Linked DNA regions of Oryctolagus cuniculus. The protein of the gene in region 7 interacts with the protein of the main gene of each other region in a pairwise test. Links are inferred from orthologs where the notes say so. Each region holds a gene or a part of one and is shown on either strand. Other genes may lie near its edges. The genes, in order: TTC19, PPP2R3C, ARIH2, FAM124A, NDOR1, ABCF3 and CCDC33.

The links.
Region 1: the proteins of CCDC33 (region 7) and TTC19 interact in a two-hybrid assay, tested with the Homo sapiens proteins (2 studies listed by BioGRID and IntAct). The two-hybrid records come from large-scale screens. The link is inferred for Oryctolagus cuniculus from reciprocal best matches to the Homo sapiens genes CCDC33 and TTC19.
Region 2: the proteins of CCDC33 (region 7) and PPP2R3C interact in a two-hybrid assay, tested with the Homo sapiens proteins (2 studies listed by BioGRID and IntAct). The two-hybrid records come from large-scale screens. The link is inferred for Oryctolagus cuniculus from reciprocal best matches to the Homo sapiens genes CCDC33 and PPP2R3C.
Region 3: the proteins of CCDC33 (region 7) and ARIH2 interact in a two-hybrid assay, tested with the Homo sapiens proteins (2 studies listed by BioGRID and IntAct). The two-hybrid records come from large-scale screens. The link is inferred for Oryctolagus cuniculus from reciprocal best matches to the Homo sapiens genes CCDC33 and ARIH2.
Region 4: the proteins of CCDC33 (region 7) and FAM124A interact in a two-hybrid assay, tested with the Homo sapiens proteins (2 studies listed by BioGRID and IntAct). The two-hybrid records come from large-scale screens. The link is inferred for Oryctolagus cuniculus from reciprocal best matches to the Homo sapiens genes CCDC33 and FAM124A.
Region 5: the proteins of CCDC33 (region 7) and NDOR1 interact in a two-hybrid assay, tested with the Homo sapiens proteins (2 studies listed by BioGRID and IntAct). The two-hybrid records come from large-scale screens. The link is inferred for Oryctolagus cuniculus from reciprocal best matches to the Homo sapiens genes CCDC33 and NDOR1.
Region 6: the proteins of CCDC33 (region 7) and ABCF3 interact in a two-hybrid assay, tested with the Homo sapiens proteins (2 studies listed by BioGRID and IntAct). The two-hybrid records come from large-scale screens. The link is inferred for Oryctolagus cuniculus from reciprocal best matches to the Homo sapiens genes CCDC33 and ABCF3.

Annotation. Positions count from the first base shown.
Region 1 is NC_091448.1:60,003,076-60,007,339, reverse strand, and holds the start of TTC19 (tetratricopeptide repeat protein 19, mitochondrial), read left to right. Parts: upstream 1-1,464; 5' UTR 1,465-1,497; coding exon 1,498-1,684; intron 1,685-1,769; coding exon 1,770-1,906; intron 1,907-3,152; coding exon 3,153-3,263; intron 3,264-4,264. Other genes in the region: ZSWIM7 (zinc finger SWIM domain-containing protein 7), read right to left, coding at 1,165-1,369. UniProt on the Homo sapiens protein: Required for the preservation of the structural and functional integrity of mitochondrial respiratory complex III by allowing the physiological turnover of the Rieske protein UQCRFS1.
Region 2 is NC_091443.1:40,416,063-40,420,302, reverse strand, and holds the start of PPP2R3C (serine/threonine-protein phosphatase 2A regulatory subunit B'' subunit gamma), read right to left. Parts: upstream 2,801-4,240; 5' UTR 2,662-2,800; coding exon 2,604-2,661; intron 1,374-2,603; coding exon 1,246-1,373; intron 1-1,245. Other genes in the region: PRORP (mitochondrial ribonuclease P catalytic subunit), read left to right, coding at 3,892-4,240. UniProt on the Homo sapiens protein: May regulate MCM3AP phosphorylation through phosphatase recruitment. May act as a negative regulator of ABCB1 expression and function through the dephosphorylation of ABCB1 by TFPI2/PPP2R3C complex.
Region 3 is NC_091441.1:100,171,768-100,175,267, reverse strand, and holds part of ARIH2 (E3 ubiquitin-protein ligase ARIH2), read left to right. Parts: intron 1-1,269; coding exon 1,270-1,421; intron 1,422-2,363; coding exon 2,364-2,507; intron 2,508-3,449; coding exon of another isoform or gene 3,450-3,475; coding exon 3,476-3,500.
Region 4 is NC_091440.1:70,650,653-70,654,067, reverse strand, and holds the end of FAM124A (protein FAM124A), read right to left. Parts: coding exon 3,027-3,415; 3' UTR 501-3,026; downstream 1-500.
Region 5 is NC_091432.1:237,493,210-237,497,445, reverse strand, and holds the start of NDOR1 (NADPH-dependent diflavin oxidoreductase 1), read right to left. Parts: upstream 2,801-4,236; coding exon 2,545-2,800; intron 2,435-2,544; coding exon of another isoform or gene 2,386-2,434; coding exon 2,357-2,385; intron 1,388-2,356; coding exon 1,260-1,387; intron 794-1,259; coding exon 695-793; intron 611-694; coding exon 509-610; intron 430-508; coding exon 220-429; intron 23-219; coding exon 1-22. Other genes in the region: TMEM203 (transmembrane protein 203), read left to right, coding at 2,951-3,361. UniProt on the Homo sapiens protein: NADPH-dependent reductase which is a central component of the cytosolic iron-sulfur (Fe-S) protein assembly (CIA) machinery.
Region 6 is NC_091435.1:93,764,612-93,768,694, reverse strand, and holds the start of ABCF3 (ATP-binding cassette sub-family F member 3), read right to left. Parts: upstream 2,801-4,083; 5' UTR 2,666-2,800; coding exon 2,494-2,665; intron 2,266-2,493; coding exon 2,118-2,265; intron 2,025-2,117; coding exon 1,945-2,024; intron 1,523-1,944; coding exon 1,476-1,522; intron 1,308-1,475; coding exon 1,210-1,307; intron 1,130-1,209; coding exon 1,007-1,129; intron 881-1,006; coding exon 614-880; intron 1-613.
Region 7 is NC_091443.1:109,375,177-109,379,322, forward strand, and holds the start of CCDC33 (coiled-coil domain-containing protein 33), read right to left. Parts: upstream 2,801-4,146; 5' UTR 2,409-2,800; coding exon 2,388-2,408; intron 148-2,387; coding exon 1-147.

The DNA.
Region 1 (4,264 bases), on a different chromosome or scaffold from region 7:
ATTGGGGAGTGAACCAGCATATGGAAGACCTCTCACTCGCTCGCTCTCTGTGTAACTCTTTCAAATAAATAAATAAATCTTAAAAAAAAAAAAAAGAGGCTGATACTGAATTAGGGCTAAGTCTGGGAACATTGGAAAGCACACATAAGCCAGGACAGTTACAACTCCAGGGGACACTAAGAAGTTACACAAGAAAGGAGAAGTCCATCCTACTTTCCCACATTGCTCATCTGTGACTAGCTTGGACATCATCACACACAAAATGTAAACTTGGAAACCCGCACTAAAAACAGCTACCACGGAAGAATGTGGCTTAGCCCGGGGTTGCACAAAGATCCTGAAGTGCGCAGAAGAGTCCTGCCGAAAATAAACTCGCATCAAAGGCAGCGGCTGCGTGTCTGAGTCACGGCTGTGTCACTCGTACCTACCTATCGGGCCCCCACGGCGGTCAGCGCACGGATTACTCCCTCGTGACAAGGCAAGGCTCGTGAAGCCAAAGCATTCCAAACGCCCCAGGCCACCAAATCTTAGAGTCACTGCTAGGCGCTCACAACCGTGTTTTCCCCCCACCCACCCAGAGGTCTGTACCCAGCTGGCGTCATCTTTGAAGCGTGTTACTTTGGACTGCAAAGACCAAAAGTTGCCTTACTTCCCTCAGTCCTTTAAGAAGACACAGTAACTCAAACCCCTCCCCAAGTGCACAGCTTCTGTGAACAAAAGCCCGCGTGTGTAGGTGACCGATTGGCATCATCTTAGAAGACGCGGGGACGCCGGTGAGCGGGTGCAGAGCGCCCTCTGCTGGCCAGACAAGGAAAGGCGCTGCACAGCATCGCGGACGCCAGCAGCTGCCTGCGCGTTCCGTCCACCGTGGCCCGAAAAATACTTTATTTTTTGAACCCATGATTGATTAAACTCGCCATCAGAACTTGACAGCAAAGGCAAACGTGGTCAACTTAGGAACTCAAGATACTCATCTTTCCATAACGCGTCCTTAAGCTTCTGTCCGTCCCAGCCCCCGGCCCAGGGACCCCCCGGCCCCGGGACCCCCCCGGCCCAGGGACCCCCCGGCCCAGGGACCCCCCGGCCCCGTCGCCCGCCTCCCAGCCCCGCACTGTGTCCCGCCCGCGGCCCGCGAAGCCGCCACACACGCCCTCCGGCCCGTACTTCGCGCGCTCTCCCGCACGGCCGCGGCCATCTCGCTCAGGAGCTCCTCCACGACGCCAGGCAACGCGACAGCCATGGCCTGGAGGGTTTGCGCCTCCCTCGGACCAGCGCCCACGACAAAATTCCCGCCACCGAGGAGGGGCGAGAGCTGGGGAATGAGGGGGAAGCGCCCGGCGAAGTGACGTCGGCGTGCGTCACCGCGCATGCGGACAGCCCCGAGGACGCCCTCACGCCCGTCACGTCACGGCCCGGCCAATCCGGCGAGGGTTCGGCGCAGGGGGCGGGGCGTCCGGGGCCGCCGGGCCTGCAGTGCGCAGAGGACGCGGCGGGAGCATGTACCGGCTCCTCAGCCGGACGCTGGGCCGAGGCCTCCTGCGGGCCGCGGGGCGGCGGTGCCGCGCCGGCTTCCCTCGCCTGCTCCCGGGGCCCGCAGGAGGCGCGGGGCCCGGCGTTCCGGCGGCGCCCTCCCGAGCCGCGCCGCCGCACGGCGGGGGCCCGGGCCTGCTGCCGCTGCTGGCAGGTGAGGGGCGCGGGCCGGGCGGGGCCGGCCGGGCGGGGACAGGGGCGCGGGCCGGGCCCGCTGACCTCAGAGCCCCTTCCCGCAGCGCTGTCCTGGTTCTCGAGGTCCTCCGAGCCGGAGGAGCAGGAGCAGCAGCAGCGGGGAGCGGACGGCGCGGCCGCCGCCGAGGACGCGGCGGACGAGGCCGAGGCCGAGATCATCCGGCTGCTGAAGCGGGCCAAGGTGAGGCCGGGCCGGGCCGGGAGCGCGGGCGAGCGGGGTGCACCTTGCGCTCTGCGCGAGGGCGGAGGGAGGCCCGGGGATCGGACGGGGCTGGGCGCGGGTGGTGGGGGGGTGGGAATCCGTCCAGGTGCGGACAGCGGAGGATGGCGTCCCCCACCGGGCGTGTCTCCGTCCACGCACGCCGTCCACAGTGTTCGGGAGCTCCGGTTATACTGTAGCGCCCTGTAGACGGGCCGGGTAGGATCCGAAGTCTGATCCTCTTCTTTCTGTACATTCCTCCTTTTCCTCCGTGCCCTCTGCTCCCCCGACACACACCCCGGTTATCTGTTCTCTTTCTTGGGCTGGATTCCAGCTCAGTGCCAACACCGTGCACTCTGTGTGTTACCCACCTGCTGTCTCCTCCAGGCTGAACTCTGGACCCCAGGTGCCACCCCGACACCTGCTTCCACCGCCCTTACTACCTTCAGTATCTCAGCTTAGAAACCTCAGTGTACCTTGTGTGTTGCCTCCCAGTACACTCAACAGTGCAGCCCCCAAATCCAAAATGAAATTGTTCTGCCATCTGCCCTCCTCGCTCTCGCCCTGGTTGTCACCAACCCTGGCTCCCGCCATCCAGTCTCCAGTAGACAGAAAGATTTCTTAGCATATTTACGTCAATTGGGTGTTACCTTCCTGCCTGAAAACCTGAGTGGCATCCCACTGCGTTCATGAGAAAGTCCAGTCACCTCGCAGTGGCCCCTAAGACCCTATGTGAGCCAAGCCTCCCACCTTGCCCACCCGTGGGGCAGTAGCCCTCTGTCTCCCTTCCCCAGAACCATCCTCTCCAGCCCAGAGGGGCCGTGCTGTGCTGCTCTCTCGTTTCTCCGTGGGTCCTTCTTCCCCCCAGTTCTTTGTTTGGTTGACTCATCCATCTTAGCTCAGTTAGCTGTCGCTTCCTTAGAAAGCGTCCCTGACTCCCATTAGAGGAGAACCCCCCCCCCATCACTCCTTTCCCTCTCATCTGTTGCCCAAAACGTTGTCGTGTGGCCACCCTAGCCACGCAGGAGGCCCACCTGCCCGTCCCCTCCGCAGACGCAACGCGTGGTGCCTGTAGGAATTCAGTACGTACCTGGTGAACAGACAGACGGCTCGCTTCTGCGTATTGGGAAACGCTGCGTGTCCGCCTCTGTCTGGTAGCTCCGGCGTCTGCTCTCTTTGGATTTCGCTGTTATTTTATGTATTTATTTATTTTATCTCCTGTCTGCAGCTGAGTATCATGAAGGATGAGCCAGAAGAGGCCGAGAAGATGCTGCACGATGCTCTTCGCCTCGCCTATCAGAGCGATAACAAGAAGGCCATCACTTACACTTACGACCTGGTAACTTTGTGTCCAGTCCCAGCTGCTGATGTGCAAAGTGGATGAAAGGGAAGGGTTGTTCTGGGTTTATGTTGCTGACCTGCAAGATGTCCTAAAGCTCATTTATTTTTTTCAACTAAGTTTTTCATGTGGTTTGTTTTAAAAAGATGCTATATTGTTACTTATAAGATATCTCAATTCCAGACCAAAAAAGAAACAGATATCATTATCATTTGTTTCTTCCGTCCTGGATGGACTTAGATTTGGTTATCAGCAAAATATATGCAACAAAGTACTCACTTTAAAAAAAATAAAAAGGAGGGCCGGTGCCGCGGCTCACTAGGCTAATCCTCTGCCTTGCGGCGCCGGCACACCGGGTTCTAGTCCTGGTCGGGGTGCCGAATTCTGTCCCGGTTGCCCCTCTTCCAGGCCAGCTCCCTGCTGTGGCCAGGGAGTGCAGTGGAGGATGGCCGAAGTACTTGGGCCCTGCACCCCATGGGAGACCAGGAGAAGTACCTGGCTCCTGCCATCGGATCAGCACGGTGCACCGGCCGCGGCGGCCATTGGAGGGTGAACCAACGGCAAAGGAAGACCTTTCTCTTTGTCTCTCTATCTCACTGTCCACTCTGCCTGTTAAAAAAAAAAAAAAAAAAAAAAAAAAAAAGGATTTATGTATTTGAAAGGCAAAGTGAAGAGGGAGGGACAGAGATCTTCCATCTGCTGGTTCACTCCCAAATGGCTGAAGCCAGAAGCCCGGAACTCCTATCCGGGTCTCCCACATGGTGGCAGCAGCCCAAGGGCTTGGCCCATCTTCCACCGCTTTCCCAGGCACATTAGCAGGCAGCTGGATTGGAAGCGGAGCAGCCAGGACTCTTAACTGGCACTCTGGTACGGGAGGCTGGCTTCACAAGTTGGTGGCTTAACCTGCTGCCCCACAACGTCCACCCCAGAATTCACTTTTTTTTTTTTTTTAAGATTTATTTATTTTACTTGAAACTCACACTTACACAGAGAAACAGAGG
Region 2 (4,240 bases), about 69 Mb from region 7:
CAGTTAGGCCACCACTTAGGAGCTCATATCCCATATGGGAGTGCCTGGAATGAAGTCCCACTCCCCACTTCCAATCCAGCTTCTTGCTAACACCCTAAGAGGCAGCAGGTAATGGCTCAAGTGCTTGGATTCTTGTCATTTATGTGGGAGACACAGAGAGAATTCGTGGCTAATGATTTTGGCCTGGCCTGGCTCTGGCTGTTGTGGGCATTTGGGGAGTAAACCAGAGAATGGAACATCTCTTTGTGACTCCATCCTTTAAATAAATAAACAAATAATATCATAAAAAAATTAGATTCAAGAGACTTTTCTATAGTGGCTACATTCTATATAATAATAGGTCTTATGCTTTTCAGTGCACTTCACTTTCAGGTAGCTTTCTTAGTGTTCCTGTTTTGTCTATAATCTCAAAGACTTCTTTACACTTTTGACATAAGGAAACTTATGAAGCTCTGAGTTTTCCATTTTCAGTCTACTTTCAAAAGATTTTAAGCAAAACCTTTACACTTCATAACAATGTGTTGCATACCTCAACATAACACAATATAACACTACACTCCTCCACAATAAAAATTAAGAAAAATCCCAGGATTTAGAAAAAAGTACAAGGAATAACTTTGTGTTCTTATACCAATTTATATCAAAATTCAGGATTTCACTGGATTCAAATTGATAAGAGGTGTAAGATCAAGAAGAATAAAATAACATACAATATTTCAAATACAGTACTACTTTTAAAATATAAAATTCTGATCCCATTTTTAATTACATTTTATTTTAAATTTTATTACATTATTTTAAATTTTATTTATTTATTTATTTATTTATTTATTTATTTTTGACAGGCAGAGTGGACAGTGAGAGAGAGAGACAGAGAGAAAGGTCTTCCTTTGCCGTTGGTTCGCCCTCCAATGGCCGCCGCGGCCGGCGCGCTGCGGCCGGCGCACCGCGCTGATCCGATGGCAGGAGCCAGGAGCCAGGTGCTTTTCCTGGTCTCCCTTTCGGTGCAGGGCCCAAGCACCTGGGCCATCCCCCACTGCACTCCCTGGCCACAGCAGAGGGCTGGCTTGGAAGAGGGACAACCGGGACAGAATCCGGCGCCCCGACCGGGACTAGAACCCGGTGTGCCGGCGCCGCTAGGCGGAGGATTAGCCTAGTGAGCCGCGGCGCCGGCCACATTATTTTAAATTTTAAATTACATTTAATTTATAAATTCTGAAAAACATCTGCTTAGCTATCACTTACCCTGTAATAAAACCGAGGAATGATCTTATAGAATTCATTTGTGTTTTTCCCAGCTCCTTTCCATTCGGAGTAGTATTTCGTAAACAAATCCATTTCTTCATCTTTTAATTCTTGTTCACTTTTTTTTCCTGGTAACAAAACAAATGAAGGGGAGAAAAGTACTTTTAAAGGAATATTATTTATCAGGTCCATTATCTACTACAGGTCATTTAAAATAGTTGCAATGTGGGCCAGCACTGTGTCACAGCGGGTAAAGCTGCTGCCTGCAGTGCAGCATATCATATGGGCACCGGTTCTAGTCCCGGCTGCTCTTCTTCTGATTCCACTCTCTGCTATGGCCTGGTAAAGTGGCAGAAGATGGCCCAAGTGCTTGGGCCCCTGCACCTGCGTGGGAGACTGTCAAGAAGCTCCCGGCTCCTGGCTTCGAATCGGCACAACTTTGGTTCTTGTGGCCATTTGGGGAGTGAACCAGTGGAAGGAAGACCTTTATCTCTCCCTCTCAATCTTTAGAAAAACATAGCTGCAATGCCAACAAGGCTTCATAATTGTGCTTATAAACTGAACATGGGGACCCGTGCTGTGGCATAGCAGGTAAAGCTGCTGCCTGCAGCACCAACATCCCATATGGGCACTGGTTCAAGTCCCAGCTGCTCCACTTCCAATCCGGCTCTTTGCTATGGACTGGGAAAGCCGACAGTAAGGGAAAAGGATGGACGGAGGTTTGGGAGGTGACAAGAACTCGGTGTTATTACAGTGGATGCCCTAGGAAACACAGCAGACGTGCCCGAAACACCTGCTCTAGGTTAGCGGATCTGGGTCAACAGTGAGACGACTCATCCTGGTTCGATTTTTCTCCAGCCACTTTCAGCTGCCCGGAGAACGAATGTGGAAGAAGAAAGATTTCACGAGCTTGGTTAACAAGCAAGTGTAAAGGAAGGGAAAGGGACAAAGAAAAACGGATTATTACAGCTAAAACGAAAAGGAAGGAAGTGACTGTGACAGAAAGGCTACAGGCTCAATGAATGATCGCGGTGGGGTCGAAGAGCCGGTGGAGCCAGGGTTCTCAGTCACCGCCCGCCAGTCCAGATCACAACCATGTAAGTAAGTGCTCAGGCTAAGGTCTTCGCTCCCGAAGGCCCTTCCTAGCGAAGTTTGGGAGAAACCTCTGCGGGTCACAGAAACACATACCACCACTCCGCCTCCTGGGTCCGGGGATGCTACAGAAGCGCGAAGTGCGGCTCGCACTTGCTCCTCCTCCCAACTCACCGCACGCCTCCCAACCCCGGCCCGCCGCAGAGTCTAGGCGCCCCCCACCCCGCGCCCCCGCCAGCCCAGCGGGCGGTCCTGCCCCAACTCACGGTTTAGACCGGTGTTGGGCGTCGCTAACCGCCGACGAAGGACTTCTTTCCAGTCCATGGCTGACTCCCGCGAAGCAGCGCCTGCATTTGCTGTATATTAACCGCTCCTCCCCCCATCAGTGCTGACGTCAGACGCCCTCAAGCTACGTAGAGGCTGGGAAGGCCTACCAATCGCCATCTTTGACATGGGCGGAAGTCTTGGCTAAAGGGGCAGGAACTCCTGTAGCTGTCGCGGTGGATAGGGCCGTATCTCTAACTGGGAAAAGCAGACATGAAAGAGATGGAAAATAATCCTGCTTAAGAAGCGTCCACGTTTCACCAAGTTCGATTTTAAAGGCCAAGGTAAGGGAGCCCACGATTTTGTTTCCTTATCGTGGGCCTTTGGCGCGTGTGCCCCACGTGACTCAAGAGTCCTTTGCCGTTTCCGGCTAGAGGGAAGTACTTTGGCATTTTATTTTAATTGAGCTTGAGGCCCTGAATTTTGTTTTAAGTAAGCTTGACGCCTCAGTAGCCGTCTTCTCCCTCTTTTGCTACTATAAGCTTCCAAATCTTTTTTTCTCGCGGTTAAGCGGAGCGGAAACGCGGGCGTCCGGCTCGGGCACGCCTCGCGGGCCGTGGCTGGCGCGGTGCATTGTGGACCCTGCAGTTTGCTTCACGTTTGTGGGCCGCTGAGGCGTGAGTGCTGTGGTGAGTTGTGCAATGAAGTGAACTTCATTGGCTGCTGACAGGTACACGGTTAAATTGGCGCCTTTCCTGGACCTCGCTTGTAGGCTCGGCTGTCCCCTTCCCCCTCTTTCCCTCATCTGACGCGTTTGCGGCCCCGGGAGATTTGCTATGCCGCGCGGGAGCCCGTGGCTTTGGCCGCCCTCGTTATTGTTGGTGGGGTTGGGGGCTTCTATTCCCGGTTTTAACTTTATGCTTCCTTTCCCGCAAGGCTCCCATGGGATCCTGCCCTTTTTTACAGTTGTGAACCTCCTGTGCTTTTCCCTCGGATTCACGGGCTGGATTTTAACAGGCACCAGGAGCTCCCCGCCCCGACCCCCGGATTAGGGTTTACGACCAGTGTTGGATATCCCCAAGTCGCCGCTTAATAGAGAGGGCTCACCTGCCTTCGTTGCTACTACATAGCCCCCAAAGCAGACCCGTATCTGTGTGTAAAGAAGAAACAGAAAATCTCCTTTTAAAAAGTTGGCGCATCACTCTCGACCTCCTCCATTTCTTCATTTTGCTGTGGAAGTAGGGGGTTATGAACATCTCTCGTCCCATCGGGTGCTGATTCCGTTGCACGATGGCGTTCTGTATGTCTGGCATTCGAAGTTTTCCTAAACTTTGGGAGAGCAACCCATACGCTGGGCTACGTCCAAGGCATTCTTACATCTCCCTCTTTCTCACAAACTGCGTTGGCATCAGGAACGACCATAGATGGTTTTCTCTTAAAGCAATGTCTCCACAAAACACCAAAGCAATGAACCCGCTGATTGCCAGGGGCAGACATCTCTGGAAAGCAAATGAGGGCAATAAAAAGCAAGTGCCTTTGGAGTCTTCCCATCTTTTCGCAGCTGGAGCAGCTGAGAAGCGATCACAGAGGAATCCTCCGAACAAGGATCGGGCCATGCCTCCCGTGAAGGGCACTATTC
Region 3 (3,500 bases), on a different chromosome or scaffold from region 7:
GCTTTGCTGTGTAATTAATTATACTGCTTATAGGAGCAACCCTAGCCAATGCGGTATTTGAAACAGTAGCAAGCACAAGTTGCCAGGGAGAGGGCAGTATTGCCGCTGTTAGATGAAGGCTCCCAGGAGAAGTTGAACAGCCTTTGGGTCTCTGGGTTTGGCTTTAGCTTCCCTACAGCTTGACAAGAGCCTAAGCAGAGTTTACCTACCACTGTCAGGGGCTCTGCAGACAGGACATCATCTACATTATTGGACATACAAATGAACTGTGGTTGACCCTGCTCCGTTAGGCTGTAGTAATTCCTGGGATGTACGGCATCCATAAGGGTATCTTAAATTTTTCCTTTTTGCTTCCTTAGTTTGGAAGCAGAGTCATGCACCTCCCCACCTGCCCTTCCTCTCCCCTTTTCTCTCCCTCCCTCCCTTGCCCGTCTCTGTGCCTTTTAATAAATAAATAAATAAATCTTCTTTAAAAAAAAAAAATGAAGGGAGGTGCTGGCATTGAGGTGCCGTGGGTTAAGTCACCACTTGCAGTGCTGGCATCCCATATGGCTGTGGATTCAAGTCCCACTTGCTCCACTTCCAATCGAGCTCCCTGCTCATGTGCCTGGGAAAGCAGCAGAAGGTGGCCCAAATACTTGGACTCCTTCTACCCACATAGGAGACCCAGATGGAGTTTTGGTCTCCTGGCTTCAGGCTAGTCAAGCCCCTGCCATTTGGAACGTGAACCAACTAATGGAAGATATTCTCTCTCTCTCTCTCCCATCTGCCCCCCGCCCCCCACTTCCTCCTATAACACTGCCTTTTAAATAAATAAATCTTAAAAAAAAAAAAAAAAAAAAAAAGAAGAGGACCAGCTTCACATACAAACATCTTCCTAGGTCAAGTGTTAGGAAGATGAGAGATAGGATATACAGATGGTGTGTGTTGTAGCCAACCAGGTGGGCTTCAGTTGGACAAATTTCTGCTTCTTATAGTGGTACTGACACAGCAGGCCCGTGGTCCTTGTATAGTCTGCACCTACCTATGTTGAAATTAATAGACACAGAGCGCATGTGCTCATGGAATGGTGAATATCCATAAGCTGTCATATCAGCAAGGACAGGCCTCAGGGATAATGCGAGGTAATGTTCCCTCTGGAAAGAGGCAGCCAGGATGTTCTAGTCAGGTGATACCTCCGGGTCTGTCCATCCCACTGCTTTGCCAGTGCCTTGGAGGGATGTGGGTTTGTCTTACGGCTATAAGTGACTCTCCCTTTGTTCTGTGCAGACTTCTGCTGGATGTGTCTAGGAGACTGGAAGACTCATGGCAGTGAATACTATGAGTGCAGTCGGTACAAGGAGAATCCTGACATTGTCAACCAAAGCCAGCAAGCCCAGGCCAGGGAGGCCCTCAAGAAGTACTTGTTCTACTTTGAGAGGGTAGGCGTCTTTTCCTGTGCCCATCCCACCAGGGTGGGCTTCTGTGGTTAGCCTACCTGGGTGGGCTGACTGGGCTGACTGGTAGCCAGAGCCAGCCTGTGCATAGAGAACGCAGTGAATGAAGCTCCTGCCAGTAGCCCTGGTGCTACCTCTACACCTGTGCCTTTTAGGCTCTACTGGGTAGCCACAGCTGGAGAGGGACAGGGAACTGACCTCAGTTAACGATGGATGAAAGGATAATGAAGACTCATTAGACAGTTTTCATTCCAGTGCTTTTAAAAAAAATTATTTATTTATATTTAAAATAGAGAAAGAGAGATCTTCCAACTGCTGATTTACACCCCAGATGCCTACAACGACTAGGGCTGAGCCAGGCCAAAGCTAGGAGCTTTATCCTAGGTCTCCCCTGTGGGTGAAGGGGCACGAGCACTTGGGCCATCTTCCACTGCTTTCCCAGGCCACAGCAGGGAGCTGAAATGGAAGTGGAGCAGCCAGGGCATGAACTGGTGCCCATAGAATGGCAGCCTAACCCACTGCGCCGCAACACTGGCCCTCCAGTGCCTTCTTAGTGGTCAGAATTAGGGAATGGTTTCCCCCAGGGAGACCCTTCAGAAGTCAGAGTATGACAGTTGGTCCCTAAGCACAGTAGACTAGTGGGGGCCCCCGCTTTGCTTGGCTGTCAGGGCCAGAGTCCCGTTTCCCCAGCGGGATGGAGTACTTGGGCAGGCAGAGAGCTGTTCTGAGGGTTTACTGAAACTGTTCTCGTGGGTGCACTGAAAGCAAGCCCTTCCTGCACTGTGGAGGCCACACACACTCCCCGTAAGTTCAAGGAGTCTGTCGTCATGCCCTGCCAGCCAAAGGTGTGTCCTGAGTGTGTGGACCTGTGGACTTGTGGACCTCCTGGGATTCCTGCAGCTTTCTCCTTCTCTCTGTGCCCTCTAGTGGGAAAACCACAACAAAAGCTTGCAGCTAGAGGCGCAGACATACCAGCGGATTCATGAAAAGATTCAAGAGAGGGTTATGAATAACCTGGGGACGTGGATCGACTGGCAGTATCTACAGAACGCTGCCAAGCTCTTGGCCAAGGTATCTACCACCTCACTCTTGGATCCCCTCTCCAGTGCCTGGCCCCCATCAGGGCACACCTCTGAGGGTGGGAGGTCTTGTGGGGAGTGGGAGTCGTTAGCACCCTGCACAGCCTAATGTGCTTCTGCTGACAGACCCACATTTCCTTGTGCTGGGCCCTTGAGGGACTCAGTCCTTTGATGGAAGTCAGAGGCTTTTTTTTTTTTTTTTTTTTTGACAGGCAGAGTGGACAGTGAGAGAGAGAGACAGAGAGGAAGGTCTTCCTTTGCCGTTGGTTCACCCTCCAATGGCCGCCACGGCTGGCGTGCTGCAGCCGGCGCACTGCGCTGATCCGATGGCAGGAGCCAGGAGCTTTTCCTGGTCTCCCATGGGGTGCAGGGCCCAAGCACTTGGGCCATCCTCCACTGCACTCGCTGGCCACAGCAGAGAGCTGGCCTGGAAGAGGGGCAACCAGGACAGAATCCGGCGCCCCGACCGGGACTAGAACCCGGTGTGCCAGCGCCGCAAGGCGGAGGATTAGCCTAGTGAGCCGCGGCGCCGGCCCCAGAGGCTTTCTAAGAATAGTGTTCTGCTGCCTCTGCCTGCAGGGAAAACTAGAATCCCCTTCCTCTCCCTTTGTCCCATCTCTGCGTCGTGCAAAGGAAAATGAAAAGATAGTCTTCGGACAAATATTGAGATAGATATGTGGACTCTGATGTCCAACCCAAGAAGGAGAAGTCACTGAGGCAGTGCTGGTAATAAATCACAGTTTGAAAAAGGAAAGGTGGGTGTCCTGTGATCAGTTCTGTTCTGCTTTCCCCATGTCTTGCCCCAGTCCATCTTCTCCTTGGCTTGGCTCTGATTCTTTGAAGCCCAGACCTGTAGAGCCAGGTTAATCTGCATGGTGGGGCAAGAGTTTTCAGAGCCACCTGAGGTAGAGGTAGGTTAGAATCACAGACACAGGTCCCTTCTCTTCTCTCCTGCTGCAGTGTCGGTACACTCTGCAATACACCT
Region 4 (3,415 bases), on a different chromosome or scaffold from region 7:
AACACCTGGTCCCACCTGCAGTCAGTGCAGCCTGACACACCCTCTTGTGACTGCCCCCTGCCCTCAGGCCCTGGAATCGAGCAGCACCACAGTCCAGTTCTTCCTATCATGTGTGTCCCAAAAGGCTCAACCCTTGCCCCAAGGGTCCCTCTCATGCTCGTGTTAAGCAACGGAGGCAATGCAAGCTCATTTCTGTAGGGCTTGCCGGGTCAGTGGGAGTGGACTGAGAAACATCTGATGCTTGCAGCACACACTTGGTGGTGGTCAGTATTGGCCAGTGTAGGATCACGAGCAGTAATATGGGGGATCTGATTTGGATGTGTACTTGATCAGGGCACTTGCTGATACAGCCCCCCAGGCATTGCTGGGGCAGAGGAGACAAGAAACTGTGTTCTATTAAGCGGTTGTGATCTTTTACGTTCTATCAAGCTAGGGTTAAAACTGAGACTGCCTACCTCACAGAGCCTAGGTTAGCAAAGAAATAATAAATGAGACAACTCTTTTTTTTTATGGAAAAATTTATTGAGCACCTGTAAGAGGCCAGCATCTTTCACAAGAACAATATCCAAGAGGGTCAGGATTCCCTAGTGGGTGTCAGGAGCCCTCCAGGATAAGGAAGTGCTGGTTGTGTAGCCAGGAGGGAAGCCGAGGCCTCTGGAACCCACCCTATGGCTCCTTCTCCACAGAGTGACTCCCATTTCCCCAACATAGGCACTGGGGCGCCTGAATGCGGTCTTCCCGCCCCTTCCCCCCTTGTGTTATGGGGCATCTGCCTTTCCTGCTTTCAGATGACCCTTGGGGGTCACTCAGTTTGGACCAGACTGTGATGAGGGTGGCGCTGAGAAGACGCTGGGCTCTGAGGCAATCCTGGAGGACATGCGAGAAGAATAAAAGAAGGGCATGGGTTAAGGACGAAGACAGGGCCATCCCTTGCCAGCTGGGCCACTCATGTTTTGCCTCGTTGGCTTTTGTAGCTATTGGGCTTGTGCCCCTGTTCCCTGGGGGCTGTGCCATTGCCTGAGTGACTTTTTTCCTCCTCCCTGATGTCACCGCTGCCTTCCCTTGCCAGCGGCTGACCCTGAGTCACGTTTCCAGGCAGGAGGGCACTGCTGGTGTAGGAACTGGTTCTGTAGAAAGAAGCCCTTTGGTGTTCTGGGCCTGTAGTTCTGTAGTCATTGGCTTGACGGGAGCAGCCTGATTTCTTGGCATCACAACCACAGTCAGCCAAGGTACACACTTCAGAGTCTCAGTTCTTAAGTCTCGAATCAGCCCCAGGCAGTCTAGTTCAAGGGCTGGTTGACCTTCACCCTTGGACCTTGTCTGGCCCACCAAAGTCTTATTGGAACTCTGCCACTCCCGTTCATTTTCATTTTATCCACAGCAGCTTTCCTGCCACAGCGGCAGTAGTTATGATATGACTGCCTACCCTATTTATTACGTAGCCCTTTTCAGAAAATGAATTAGAAGAGACCATATTTTCATTTATTTACATTGGAGTAGAATATTACAGTTTGAAGTCCTACAATGTCCAGGCCGTTTGAGGCAGGATCTAAGGCTCTCATTGCAAGGACGGTGTAGACCTGAGTGGGAGTCTGAGATCAGTAAGGGCTGCGTGAATGACTGTGTCGGAAAGATTTCGGAGGCCGGCTGGGCTGGTGTGGGCATTTTGGGAGTGCTGAACTCTGTGCCATGAGTCATTGTGACAAAGAGCACCAGCCTGGGACATGAACAACACACATCCATGTTCTCCTTCCCCAAAGATAAATGTTTACGCATCTGGGAGACAACTTGGCATTGCCCCTGATGTCACACTTGGCATTGCTGAGGCTGCAGTTGTAAACATGCCCTTCCTGGGGGTGAGATTTGAGTGCCACTCATGCTGCGACAGAGCCAGCCACAGGCAGGGAGAGCCGAGGCTGGGCTCCAGCTGCAGCCGTCCCCAAGCCCACAAGCATTTTTTGGAAGTATTTGGTCAGAACAGTGTGGTAGGTAGGTTCCTGGTTTTGGGGAGAGGGCAGTTGCTAATCTGTGCAATCAAAATGCCAGCTAAAATGTCACCAGTCACTTAAAAATAAAAAATGTAGGACCTGTGGCCAGGCATGCTGACTGGAAAAAGCAGTAGAAAATGTAGCTCCTATTGTCCTTAGACTGTGCTTTTGAAAACTGAAAATTCTTGCGATTACCTACCCAGTATGTCTAATATTCTATGATTCTCTAACTCCAAGGAGAGTCTTACTCAGTGATCTAAATAAACTCAAGAGCGTGGAGAGGTGGTCTGGGGCTCTCATTCATTACAGTGAATGTTATTGGAAAATAGATGCAAATCTAATTTTTGGAACTCAAATCAAATTTTCAATGCATGATGAGTCTGTTACTTGTGCCAAACCCTTAGAAAATCTCTAAGCCACTTTAGTGTAAATTCAGATTTTCAGAAGCCGCATGGCCTCAAAGGCAGGCATCTGTCCACAGCTGTCTTATCGAGCTGACTCTCCCCATTCTAAGCAAGACTTGAAAATTCCTCGGGCTACTGCACATATACACAAAGAATCCCGGAAGGTGCACATTCTGTTACTGTGCACGGCTGGCTCGTGCAAGTCACTTAGTATCCTTCCCACATTCGACATTTTGGCTTTAATTGTTTTCCTTCTCAGCAGGAAAATGTGCTAAATCAGCTCTGGCTGACTGGATCTTCTTTTCATCTCAAATAATTCTAATGAAACATTTAAGTGGTATAAGTGCACTAAGCCATGCCTCAAATTGAGCATTCAAAAATATATATTTTACGGCTTATTTTATTTGCATAAAATGTCAGTATTTTACGGCGAGTCCCTAAAATACACCATCTCTCAGTTAAGAATGGAGAGACTGGCAAATGTGCTCACGGTCCCCAGGCAGCAGACAATGAAATCCCAGACAGACCTGGGGAGCAGGGCAGAGAACGCTGGTGCGTTCCGAGACCAGAGGGACAGGGAGGCCTGAGCCTGCGCGTCTGCATCCGTGCGTCTGAACGACAAAGGCGGAGGCGGTCAGATGTAGAATTCTTCCATGTCATCATCCCCGGGGCCAGGCAACACGGCGGGTGGTGGCATGGCTCTGCTGGTCTGGGTGATGCGAGGAGCGTCACAAGAGAGCTCTGGGGGTGACTTAGGGAGCAAGGAGGTGCTGGAAGCCGGGGCAGCAGTGCCATCTGTCCCTGAGGAGCTGGAGGACCCTTGGATGAAGAAAGAGAGGGAGGCCTGGGAGGCGCCCGCGGGGGCCTCACTGACAGCGGGCAGTGGTGCTTCTCTGGACCCCTTGTGCCCTGGCCGGTGGCTGCTGCGTCTTTCGGAGGGGAGGGATGCCTCTGCCGTGTTGCAGAACCTGCTGGGTGCAGAGTATGCGGAGACCACAGACAGGTCCGAGGAGGACAGCCGCA
Region 5 (4,236 bases), on a different chromosome or scaffold from region 7:
CACCACGTCACCGGCGGCAAAGCTGGGTGGGGGTTAGGGGAGGGGCTTGCGGAGGGAGGCCACGTTCAGGCCTCCCCAGCAGAGCTGCCAACTCCCAGCTCCAGCGGGGGCTCGAGAACCCTGCGCCCACTGCCCCACCCCGAGCCCCAAGCTCCCGGGGACGCCTCCACACCCCGCTGCCCTGCCTGTCTGGGGACGAGGCTGTGTCAGGCCCCTTACCTGATGCCAGAGCCCGTGATGTCAAACTCTATCAGGCGGACGTCCTGGAAGTGTGAGGGGCCGGTGACCCTCTGGTTGGTGACCATGGGCGCCAGGAAGGGCCGCAGCTCTGTGGGCGGCCCCTGAGGGTCAGCACCAGCCTCGCGGGGCTCCTCCGAGCCCACGCTGGAGCCCTCCTGAAGGAACTGCAAGGTGAACTTGGAGGGCAGGCTGTGGGGAGGGCGTGGCCGTCAGAGCCTGGGCTGCCTTCCGGGGCCCTCGCCCACCCCTCGGGGAGGCCCACACTCACGGGACTCCCGGGGGGATCACGGCGAGGCCGGCGGGCACAGGGTACAGCTCCAGTACCTTCTCCCACAGGCTCTGCAGCCAGGGGTCGATGGCGGCATCAGGCCTGGGGGGATGGGCACGAGCTGAGGGCGTCCTGCCCGTGGCGGGGCCCTGCTGGCCGCGCCACGGCACCGCCCCCTGCTCTCACCCCAGCTCGTGCTGGTCATCGCCCAGGCAGGCGGGCAGCAACGCGCTGCCACCCAGCTGCAGCAGCCGGCGGTACAGCTTCTTGGCCACGAAGTTGAACCTGCAGAGACAGCGCGGCCGGCCCAGGCTTGGCAGAGCCGAGGAAGCTCCGGGGCTGGGAAGTAGCCTCGTTCCCGACGGCCCTCATCCGGGTGCCCGCAGGTGGGAGCCGGGACTTGCGGGGGCCACCTGTCTTCCCGGGCGCGGTTTCCTCTGTGGGGAGTGCCCCCCCGGTCACCAACACCACGTGGAGCGGTCCCAGGTCCTCACTGCCTGTGCCTCCCACTGAAGGGACTCGGGGGTGCCTGACCTGCGGGCACGGCCACCCCGCCCTTCTGGGACCGCCGGGCGGTCTTCCACGTCTGCCGAGCGACACTGCTGCTTGTTTACGGCAGGCCGAGGAAAACCGGAGGCAGCCCCCCGCCCCGGCGGAGCCGTGTGGAGGGGCGCCGGCCCCACGGAGAGCGTGCGTGGACGGGACGCAGCTCTCGCCCCTCCCGCCCAGCGCCCACCCGCCTCGGACTCACTTGGCGTAGGAGGAGTCCCCAAGGCCCAGGACGGCGAAGTCCATCTGGCAGAGGGAGGTGGGCGGCAGGCGCTTCCGGAACAGGAACCTCCAGAAGTTCTGAAGCCGCAGGGAGCTGTGAGAGCCGGGCTTCCCGCGCGCCCCGCAGGCGGTGCTGACGGCTCCGCGCTTGGCCGCCGCCCACGCCCACGCCCACGCCCACGCGGAGACCCAGCTGCAGGTCTGGCCTCCCGGGTTCAGCCCGGCCCAGGCCTGGCTTGCAGGCAGACGAACATGGACACCTGGAGCAACACGACTGCTCTGCCACCGTGCCGAGAACCCGTCCAGGGAAGGCAGGTGGCCCCGAGGCCGCCCGGAGCAGGCACTCACGAGGTGGGGGGCGAGCTCGCTGCCTCCCGCGCCCCCTCCCCTCGTCTCCCCGTCGCAGCAGCGGTTCTGGGCTGTGCTGCTGGGACCCCTCCCCCCGCCCCCGCCCTCACAGGGCCACCCCAGGAGCCCCAAACCTGAACCCCGACCTTCCTTGTCCGTGACCAGAGCGGCCCTCCGCGCTGCCCCTCTGCTCCTCCCACCACCGCCCTGCAAGGGCGCCTCAGCCCCTGCGTGCCCACCGCCCCTTCTGTGGGTGAGCAGAAGGCCTGGACCTGACAGCTGTCGCCCCACGGCTTCCGGCCCACCTGCCTGACCGCCGCTGCCCGGCCACTCTGCACTGGGCCTGGCTTCCTGCCGCCCCTCCCTGCAGCGCCAAGCACCCTCCTCCCGGGCCTGGCGCCCCGCTCGCTGCAGGACCAGAGGCTCTGCTCGCACCCCGCGGCTGGCCCCCCTAGCATCTGGCACCTTCCCCAGCCGCGGGCACTTCCGGCGCCGACTGGACCGCCCAGCACGCTCGCTGCTTCTGCTCCCGGGAGCCCCGGCCCCAGCCCGTGCCCAGGCTGCACCGAGACCTAAAGGCCCTTCCCCGGGAGCCACAGGAGACCAGACCAGCCTGTCCGCGAGCGGTGAACACGGAGGGCGAGGCTTCTCCGACAGCACCGGCGGAGAGCCACTGACTACCGCCGGTGTCTCTCCAAGTGCGGGGCGGAGCCCCCGGGCCAGCCTTACCTTCATGTTGTCCGGGGGGTCTCCCTGGCCTGCAGTTGCACAAACAAATACCACCAGGCGCTCGTTGATCAGGTTCACCTCAAGAGAAGACACGCAGGTAAGACCTCGTGCGGGGACACCGCACCGAGGGCGCCCCCTGCGAGCACCCCCGCGGCCCGGCCCCCTCCCCGCGCCCCCGGAGCGCTCACCACCGCGTAGGAGTCCAGCGCCTGCACGCGGCAGCCGAGCCTCCGGCGCCGGGCCTCGCGGCCCAGCCTCTCCGCCACATCCTGGGCCGTGCCCGTCTGGCTGCCGAACAGCACCAGCAGCTGCGGGCTCGGCATCGCGGCTCCCCCGGGGGGCGGTCCCCGCCACCAGGTGCACCGCCGGCGCCCGCCGCGAGGCGACTTCCGCTTTCCGCCGCCCACCGGAAGTGACGCACTTGGGCCGCGCCCGGCGGGGCATGGCGTCCGAGCGCCGCGGGCGTCGGCGGGCGGCCGGTGCGGGGTTCCGGGCGGCGGCCGGCGGCGGCGGCGGCGCGGCCGCTCGCTGCCTCGCGCTCGCGGCGGTTGCGGGGGCGGCGGGCGAGGCCCCGGGCCGCGCGCGGCCGGCGCCATGCTCTTCTCGCTGCGGGAGCTGGTGCAGTGGCTGGGCTTCGCGCCCTTCGAGAGCTTCGTGCACCTGCTGGCCCTGCTGGTGTTCTCCGTGCTGCTGGCGCTGCGCGCCGACGGCCTGGCGCCCGGCCTGTCCTGGTGGAACGTGTTCGTGCCGCTGTTCGCCGCCGACGGGCTGAGCGCCTACTTCACCACCATCGTGTCCGTGCGCCTCTTCCAGGACGGGGAGAAGCGGCTGGCCGTGCTGCGCCTCTTCTGGGTGCTCACGGTGCTAAGCCTCAAGTTCGTCTTTGAGATGCTGCTGTGCCAGAAGCTGGTGGAGCAGACCCGGGAGCTGTGGTTCGGCCTCATCGCGTCGCCCGTCTTCATCCTGCTGCAGCTGCTCATGATCCGCGCCTGTCGGGTCAACTAGCCCCGCGGCGGGGGTGCGTGCCCGGGCCTGTGGGGCGGCCAGCCCCGCGCCGGGGGTGCGGGACCCCGAGCCCGGGGCGTGGGCCAGCCGGGGCCCCACCTCCGCCCGCTGCACCAGAGACAGCGCCTGCTCCTGCCCAGCCGAGCGGCCACTTTGCTGCCCAGAAGTCGTGGCTGACATTGCTTCTCCCGTTAGCTCGGGGCCTGCACAGCAGCTGCCCCGCTGGACTCAGGGACTTCCTGGCCCGGCTGTGCTGACCCAAGAGCTCCAGTCGCACCGTGCTGTCCAGGCTGTGTGAGATGGTGGATCTCCTGCCTGATGTCCTTTCTCCATCCCGGCCACCACGCAGGGCCTGAAGGACGTCAGACCGCGTCCGCTGTCAGCTGGGAGCATCGCTCTGCCATGGGGTTGGCCGAGAGGAACAGGTGCCCGGTGCCCTGAGGATTGAGACCTGCAGGTGGGAAGCGGGGTGGCCGGCTCTGTCGGCCGCGGTCTTTGGTCTGACGCCAGTTGGGTGCCAAGTGGGAACATCTGCGATAAAAATAAAAGAGAATCTTTCCGGAAAGGCGCGGGTTTTCTGTGCGTCCTGAAGACGGGCCCCTGCGTGGGTCTCACGGCGGGGCTTGGGGTGGACCTGGAGGGGAGGCGAGCGGGGGCGCCCAGGTGAGGGCACCTGCCATGTGTGGCTCTGCAGGGCCGGGGGCAAAGCTGCCCTGAACCCTGGTTTCCCGCCACTCGTGAGCTGGGGAGGCTTCCACGTTTAGAAGGGTTCGGGATGAAGGGTGTGTGACGGTGGCCGCGGCCCGAGTGGCAGGGCAGCACCCGGCACCTCGGCCGACGGGGCCTGGCCGTCCTCCGAGGACGGGTGCTGGCCT
Region 6 (4,083 bases), on a different chromosome or scaffold from region 7:
CAAGGGAGGGGAAGAAACAATCGGCCTGAGTGTAGGCAGCCCAGCAGGATGTCCCCCTGCACCCTGCACAGCTGCAAGGCGGGCAACTAGCCACCTTGTCGCCGGGACAGGAACAGAAGACAGGAAGAACCTGCACAAAGTAGCAGGGGCAAGAGCATTTGGGGAAGAACAGAGCATTGGGAGGGAAGGGGAGAAGGCAGCACTGTGGTACAATGGGTTAAGCTGTTGTCTGTGACACCAGCCTCCCATATGAGTGCCGATTCCGGTTCTAGCTGCTCCACTTCTGATCCAGCTCCCTGCTAATGTGCCTGAGAAAGCAGCAGAAGATGGCCCAAGTGCTTGGGCCCCTACCACCACATGGGAGACCTAGATGGAGTTCCAGGCTCCTGCATTTGGCCTGGCCTGGCCCTGCCTGTTATGGCTATTCGGGGAATGAACCAGCAGCTGGAAAATCTGTCTCTGCCCTCCTTGCTCTCTAACTCTGCTTCTCAAAAAAAATGAATCAATCTTTAAAGAAAAAAAAAAAAAAAGAACAAACACCAGCGTCCCATCCGGTGGTGGCAAGTGGCAAGTCCCGAGCTCTGCGTGGCCAGGTGACTGCCGGGGCTCTCACCTGCCAGCTGCGATCTGGCTGCTGAGCTCCTGCTCGCGCCGCAGCAGGTCCTCCCGCACGCTGTCACTCTCCAGCACGCTCTGCAGGGCAGGGGTGTCGTCTCCCGCAACCTCCTGCTCTACGTGCAGCAGGGAAATGTGGGCTGGAACCCGCAGGCTCCGGGTGGCCAGCATCTTCAGCAGGGTTGTCTTCCCCAGACCATTCCGCCCCACCAGCCCATAGCGGCGGCCCCACGCCAGGTTCACGTCGGCTCCAGCCAGCAGTACCCTGCAGGGGTGGTAGAAAGGAGACCAGCTGGTTTCGGGGCGCTGTGTGTAGCTCCGTTTCACCTCTGCAAAGTCTCCTGTAATTGGAAAAGGAGACGAATGCCACCCTCACTACCATCCCCCTCACCTATCACCAAAAGACACGTCGAAGTTCTCGATCCGCACGTCGTAGGACTTGTTCTTGCCGGAGGACTCCAGCCGGCTCTCCTTCCTGCTGCCCGCCTGGCTGGCCGACGCCTCTTCCAGGACTCTTAGAAGGGAGAGAACAGGACGTTCAGCGCCTCCAGCCACCGCTCGCCCCGTGGCGCTGGCTCTGCTCCCCGCACTCACGGAGGGCCGCAGGTCTTGAGGGCATCCTTCTCTGAGCGCTTCTCCTGCTTCGCCTTCAGCCGTGCCTCCGCCTTCTCCAGCTTCTTCGCGTTTACCGTCTAAAGTTCCAAAGAAAACCACTTCACCCTAGGGTGCAGGCTCAGAACAGGGACCCCCAGAAGGAGCACTTCAGCTCAGCCGCGACAAACAGACTCAAGGACTCAGGCAAGGACAGCCGACCCCCACCTCCACCTCAGACACCGCCCCTCCTCCCCCCGCCTCCTCACCGAGGACTGCTCCCTCTTCAGCAGTCCTGGAAGTTTGGGGTCACAGTCTGTAACCAATACAAAAAAAAAAAAAAAAAAAAGCAGTCACCCATCTCCCAGAAAGAAGGGAGACTAAGGTTCGGAGTGATTAACATGAACCAGGGACACAAACACAAAAGCCTTACCATCCTGGGGATGGGGGCTACCATCCTCCCCACCCCCAAGACAATAAACCCCACTGGTGTAGGCACACAAGCAACTCTTCTGATAAGGTCAAGCAGTTAGTAAGTTGCAAAGCTGGGAGGTGAAATCAAGTTAGGCTGCTCCAGGCCACAGACTTCCTTACCCTACCCAGGCGCGGAGACCCCTCCACGCCCTTTCCCTTCATGCTGGCCTCAGTACAACCAAGTTCGTGAGAGACAAGTCTGGCAGCTCGAGCTGCAGGGGGCAGGTGGCTGGAGCAACAAGTTCAACTTCCCCTCACGCTCACCGTAGTTCTCCGTTATCTTTGACAACTGGATGGGGGTATCCAGTCGCACCTGGCTGTTTCCTTGACTCTGTGGCTCGGCGCTAGGTGGGTAGGGATGGAAAGTGCGGAGTTAGGAACTGAGGGAAAGGCCCCACGGCCCCCGCAGTCCCCGCCGCCCCGATCCCGACACGTACAGGCGCAGAGTGTTGTACATGCGCTGGCACACGGCCCTGATGCCCGCGTCATCCTTGCTGTCCCCGGACACCTCCTGCAACAGTTCCCCCACAGCTTCCACCAGGTCATCCACAGACTCGAAATCCGCGCTGCCGCTGTGCAGGACGCCTGGGCCGGGCGTGGCAGGACGAGCAGGACACCGGGCAAGGTGGACACACAAGCAGTTTCAGTCCCTGAATCGCGGCCCCCAGTCGGGGCTCCAGACCCAACCGGCCTTCGGGACAAGAGGTCACGCGGAGAAGAGGCCTGGCAGCGGTCCCCAGCACTGCCCTCCCATAGTCTTTCCCCCTGAGCTCCACTTGGGCCTCCCCAGCCCCTTGATTCGGTTCAGCTCACCCGTCACGTAGTCGAAGACCTGTCCGTCAATTTCCGGGAACTCGCTCCGCAAGATCTCGGCGCAAGTCGCCATGTTCCAGCAGGAATCCCGTACGCGCAATCGCCTTGAGACCTCGGCGTAGACCCGCCCCCTACCCGTCCCCGAAAGCTCGCCCCTATTCCCAAAGCGCATGCGTAGCAGCGACGTACGACAGAAGCGGCGTGCGCGGAACCCACGGGTGGGTTGAGCTGGCCCGGACGAACCGTGCGCAAGCGCAGCTCAGAGTCTGCGCCGGAGCTGCCCTCAGCGCCTGCGCGACGCTTGTTCGGCTGAGGGATGAGCCACATGTGCCGTTCTCGCTGCCTTCTGGGAGGCGCAGAGCCGGAGGCGAGGGGTGGGGCGGGACAGGCGCGCGCGGGGGTTATCAGGGCTCGAGGCTTCGCCGGAGCTCCGGCTGGTGGGCGCCTCCCGAGAAGGGCGGCTGATAAGGATGTAGCTTTGCTCGGTTTTATGTGCTCCCGCGGGGCGCATCTGCCACTGCGTGCCTGGACGGACCCGTTTTGTGAGCGTTGCTGACTCACGCTGCTTTCTGAACTCAGAAGCCCCCGGCTCCGTTCCGTGCGTCCGCCGGTGTGGTCCGGGGCCTCAGGCCCTGGAGTTTGCGTCAGCCGGCTGGCCAGCACCCCCAGTCCTTTCCCACGGCCTCAGGGTTCAGCCGACCCTTGCGAACCTTGCCCATTCAGTTCTTCACCGCCCCAGGGCGCAACTTCCCCCACCGCCGAAGGGCGGAAAACCAGATCACAGCCCGGATAAGCTCACTGGTACTTAGTCCCTAGCTGCGTCCCATCCCAGGGCTGAGTTCTCTGCACCCAAGCCTCAGTTAAATTACAGGGAAAGGCTGTTTACTTTCAAGGATTCCCTCAGGTAAAAAGCGAGGGATTTTCCCCCAAAATGAGGCTACTGCGTTGTATTTAATGTCAATATTGAGACCTGGCTTTAAAACTATGACCCAACATTACATAATTACCCGTTTGGATTAACCACTGCCCAAACCCTGTGTTAACTGAGCCTCTAGATCAAATAACCATTTTATAGGAAATAAAGGTAAAGGGGGATATATTGGCAGGAGACCCAACAGGCAAATTCTGATGGGGAAACTACAGAACTCGTTTCTTTAAAAACTGCAAGAGTGGAGGCAAAGGTAGGAGTGTAAAACGTTTCAGATGGGTTAACCAACCACAGTGGACCCTGTTTGGATCCAGATGGATGTTGTGGAAATTTTGACAGGATATCTGGATTAAATGAGCACAGATCGGATGTGATACTAGGAATTGGCCGTGAGTTAATCATTGTTGAAATTGGATGATGGTATATGAGGGTGCACTGTGTTACCCTACTTTTGAAATGTTCTCAAATTTTGTTTAAGAAAGCCGGAAGGGAAATTGTGAAGGCAAAATCAACTCTTATCTTCCCTAATACACTGGCAGGATATGGGCAGTTCCTTCAGAGACTTGCTCACCACATAGCTCTGTGGAATGGTGACAGTATCCAGGAAGTTTCCTGAGAAGCAGGGGGAGTCCCCAGTGGTGTCCCCCACCCCCTCCAGAATC
Region 7 (4,146 bases):
GGGCTCGGAGCCGTCCCCGCAGGCAGGCAGGTGGGTGGCCCCGTGGATGGTGACTGCGACCACCTCCTTATTGAGGGGAGCCAGGTGGCTGGCGGTGGGCTCCGTGCTCAGGGCGACGTCCAGGGGCTCCTTTGGGCCCTCGGCAACCTGCGGGGACAGCAGCATTGAGTGGCCCCCCCTCCGCTCTGTCCCTCTGTCCCCTATAAGCTGCCAGTTCCCTCGCTCTTCCTCCACCTGCTCTGGGGCGGCACGGCTGTCACCTCCGATCCCCGTTCTCTCCCCGGTCCCACACCACGCGCCACATCAAGCGGCCGGTCAGTCTCTCCCATGCGCTCAGCTCTGCCCACCCGTCCCGCCAGGTCCCTCCTGTGCACAGCACTTCACAGTTTACAAACGTCGGCCACCCCCATGCTGGATCGCACACAGCAGACACGCAAAAAGCCGGAATCAGAAGTGGAGCCAGATGGGATGTGGGCGTTCCCAAGTGGCGTTTTAACCAGGTGCCTGCCTCTTGCCGGGAGCTTTGATGCCCAGGTAAAGCCCCTTTATAGCTGGGGGTGGGGCACTCAGAGAGACAAAATCCCCGCCCCCAAGCATACAGCAGGGCCCGCCGCAGCGGAGCGGGACCTGGAACACCTGTTTGCAGTTGGGGCCCATCCTGGGGTCCGCCTCATGGAGGCCTCGGAGCTGTGATCTTCGGGAGGGCTGGCGGCAGCCAGAGCAGTGGCCTGTGTGGCCAGCACTGTGGCATAGCGGGGTAAGCTGCTGCCTGCCACGCCAGCATCCCACAGGGGTGCAGGTTTGAGTCCCGGCTGCTCCACTTCCGATCCAACTCCCTGTTAACGTGCCCAGGAAAGTAAAAGAAGACGGCCCGGGGTGCCCAGGCCCCTGCACCCACGTGGGAGACGCAGAGGAAGCTCCTGGCTCCTGGCTTCAGGTCAGCCCAGTTCTGATGTGGGCATTGGGGGGTGATCCAGTAGACGGAATCTCTCTCTCTCTCTCTCTCTGTAACTTTGCATTTCAAATAAATAAATTCTTTTTTTTTAAAGGGACTCAAAGCAGGAGACCATCAAGGGCAGTCTGAGGGGTGGGATTACATTTGAAATTCCCCAGAAATTTCTAGAATGGCTGCAATTCACCACAATGCAGAGAAAAGACACGTGGGGGCAAATAGGCGCCCTGTCTACAAAAAGACCAATGTCCCCAGTCCTCAGGGGGTCCTGAGCTCCGCGAACATCACCATTAAAAGGTGTGGGTCAGGACCGGCCGGGGAGCGGCAGGGTGCAGCTGGAGCCCGGCGCAGCGCGGGGAAGGCCGCCACCTTCGACCGCGTCCCGGCTGCTCTGGCTCCAACCCAGCTCCTTGCTAGTGAGAAGGTGGCAGGTGCTGACCCAGGCAGTTGGGTCCCCGCCACACGCGTGGGAGACACAGGTCCAGTTCCCGGCTCCTGACTCTGACCTGGCCCAGCCCGTGTTGTAGTCCTTCGGGGGAATGAGTACATGGAAGAGCTCTCTCTCTGCCTCTGCCTCTCAAATAAACAAAATAAATCTTTAAAAAAAGGCAGGAAGATGTAACCCTCGCTACACATTAGGAAGCTCCTAGGGAGTTCCGGCCGCTGTCAAATGTGTTCCCCGGAACCACGAATCACACTCGAGGCCACGCTCTGCATCCCTGAACCCAGCTTGGTGGGGAGGGGGCCCCAGCCGACAGCTTAGGGTGCCTGGGGGGGCCTGCTCTGGGCACGGCAGCCCGGAACCAGAGGCGTCGGAATCCAGGGTTGTGAATGTAGGTGCCACAGGGGGCTCTGGCCCCCCCGGGAGAGCCCAAGTGCAGAGGGGGTGTCCCTAGGTGCTCAGAGCCCTCAGCCCCGCCTGCTGCCACGCGGACATGACGCTGCTGTCCCAGGCTCGGCAACGCGGAGGACTTGGTCCCACCCGAGATTCTGGATGTTAGACCTGCGCTCGGCCACAGGGTTCATTAAGCACCTGCTGTGTGCAAGGCGCTGGGGACACAGCAGTGAGCACAGCACAGCTCCTTCTCTCCAAGGGCCCAGGGCAGGAGCTAGGAGCCTGGGGCAGGAGCCTGGAGCCTGGCAGCCAGCCCTGCCAGGGAGGGACCCGGGGGAGGCCCCATCTCAGGGGGCTCTCTGAGCCCGTGTGACCCCAGCAACCAGCAGTGTGGGCAGTGGTAGCCAGGTATCCACTGGCCCATGGTGCTAGGACACCCACCCTGGAGGCACCACAGAGACCCTCTGGGGCCCCATTTCACAGATGCGAAAGCTGAGGCTGTGAGAAGGGACGTTGGTGCGCAGGCTCGGGAGTCGTCAGAACGAGGGGCTGCATGCGAGGGGCAGTGTGCTGTGCACACACCGTGCACCCCCACCTTACCTTTTTCTTCTTCAGTCCCATCGCCTCGGGGGCAGGGGCATCCAGCTTTGGTCAACAACCCTGGGGAAGGGTCCCTGGTGCTGTGAGTGACCAGGCGTCCGTCCTGCCTGGACAGCTGGCCCTGCAGCCTTGGTGTCTTTGGGGGTGGCAAGTGGTGCTGGGCGTCCCTGCGCTCACAGGGGTGCCAGATACCAGTCCTGGATCTGAGCACGGGGCAGGGGTGGGGCGCAGGTTGGGGGCAGGGGTCCAGAGCTTTCTCAGGAGCGAGAGGGGGTGGAGGTGGGGGCGACTTGGGGGATGTGGGCCATGGCCAGCTGGGCAAGGGTCCCCAGCCGGGCACTCGACTCCAGGCGCCCTCAGGAAGGTGATGAAAGGGGAGGCCCTCTCTCTGCCCAGACCTGGAAGAGACCCGGCCAGGTCACCTGGGCAACGCTGTGTGATGTCACAGGCCAGGGCCAAGTCACACATGCCCCTCCGCAGGTGCAGGGGGTGGGCTCAGAAGCCGGAAGCTACGGGTGCTGGCTCAGCAGCGCGGGCAAATCTGAGTGGTCTCACAGCTTCGGCCATGGTCCTGTGCAGCAGGGATTCGAGGCTGCCGTGAGGGCCCCGTGAGACCACGCGGGGGCAGGCGCTGCACTTGGCACCGACAGTCTCACCCTTGGCACGCGCTCACAGCTTTGCTGCCACCAGCCCTGGCCGCGGCAACCAGCACAGAGTCTGCTGAGCCCTCTCCCCAGCCCCTCCCCCCTGTGTGGGAGTTCACACCCTGTAGGCAGTGAGTGCTGCCCCCTCGCCCGCCCGCTGCCCACGCAGTCCCCTCCCTCAGGGCCCCCTGACCAGGAACGCCTCTGCCTTCTGCCAGGAGCCCCGCGCCTGGACCTGAGCGCCTCCGGTCACCTCCCCGCCCCTGCTGTACGGCCTCAGCTCATCCTCAAGTCTATGCCCCCTCCCTCGAGGACGCACGTGTTCGGGGGACAAACACTCGCCAGGGTCACCCACTTGGGAGTGGCAGGGCCGGGCTTCTGCGTCCAGGCCTGCTGGCTCCAGCCTGTGACCACTGAGCCTCACTGCCTTTTGCTTTCACTTGAGGGAAAGGGGCTGTGTCTCTCTCCTTCCTCCCCTGCTCCACCCCCCGCAAGCTGGGCCAAGCCCAGAGGTGAAAGCCGCCAAGCTCTGAGACGGCGCAGCCCCGATGCTGGCGGCAAGGACAGCAAGGTGGCACAGCCTGGAGGCTCTGCTGGGTGGGCCCCTGTTAGCGGGTGCAGACACGGGGCATCTGGGGTGGGCCGGTGACATCCAGCCAAGCCCCTTGGACGCCAGCTGTCATTTCAGGGCCGTGGTGGGATCCTGGAACCTCTGGGGGGCTGCCCTCTGACCTCCCCGGGGTTCCTGTACAGGGGTGACCTCTGTGAGCTTGGCGAGTGGCTCTTGGCCTAAATGCGTGAGCGTCTGCATTTTGCACAGGGCATGCTCTGTGCTGGTCCTGCCCAGGACGGCCTGGTACCACCAAGTAGGCAAAAAACAAAAAACAAAACAAAACAAATGCTGATGGCGTAGAATCCAGCAGACTGGGCTCAACCCTGGCTCTGCAGGACAGGTGAGCATTTGGGGGCAGGGTCCTTCTAGCAGACTCCCCGCCGTGCAGGACACCACCTGTGGTGGGCGCCCCGTATGAGCCCACTGTCCTGTTCACCACAGTTCACACCGACAGGGAGCCCCCACGGCCCCAGTCTTGGCGATGGGGGCCTGGGGCTGGCTG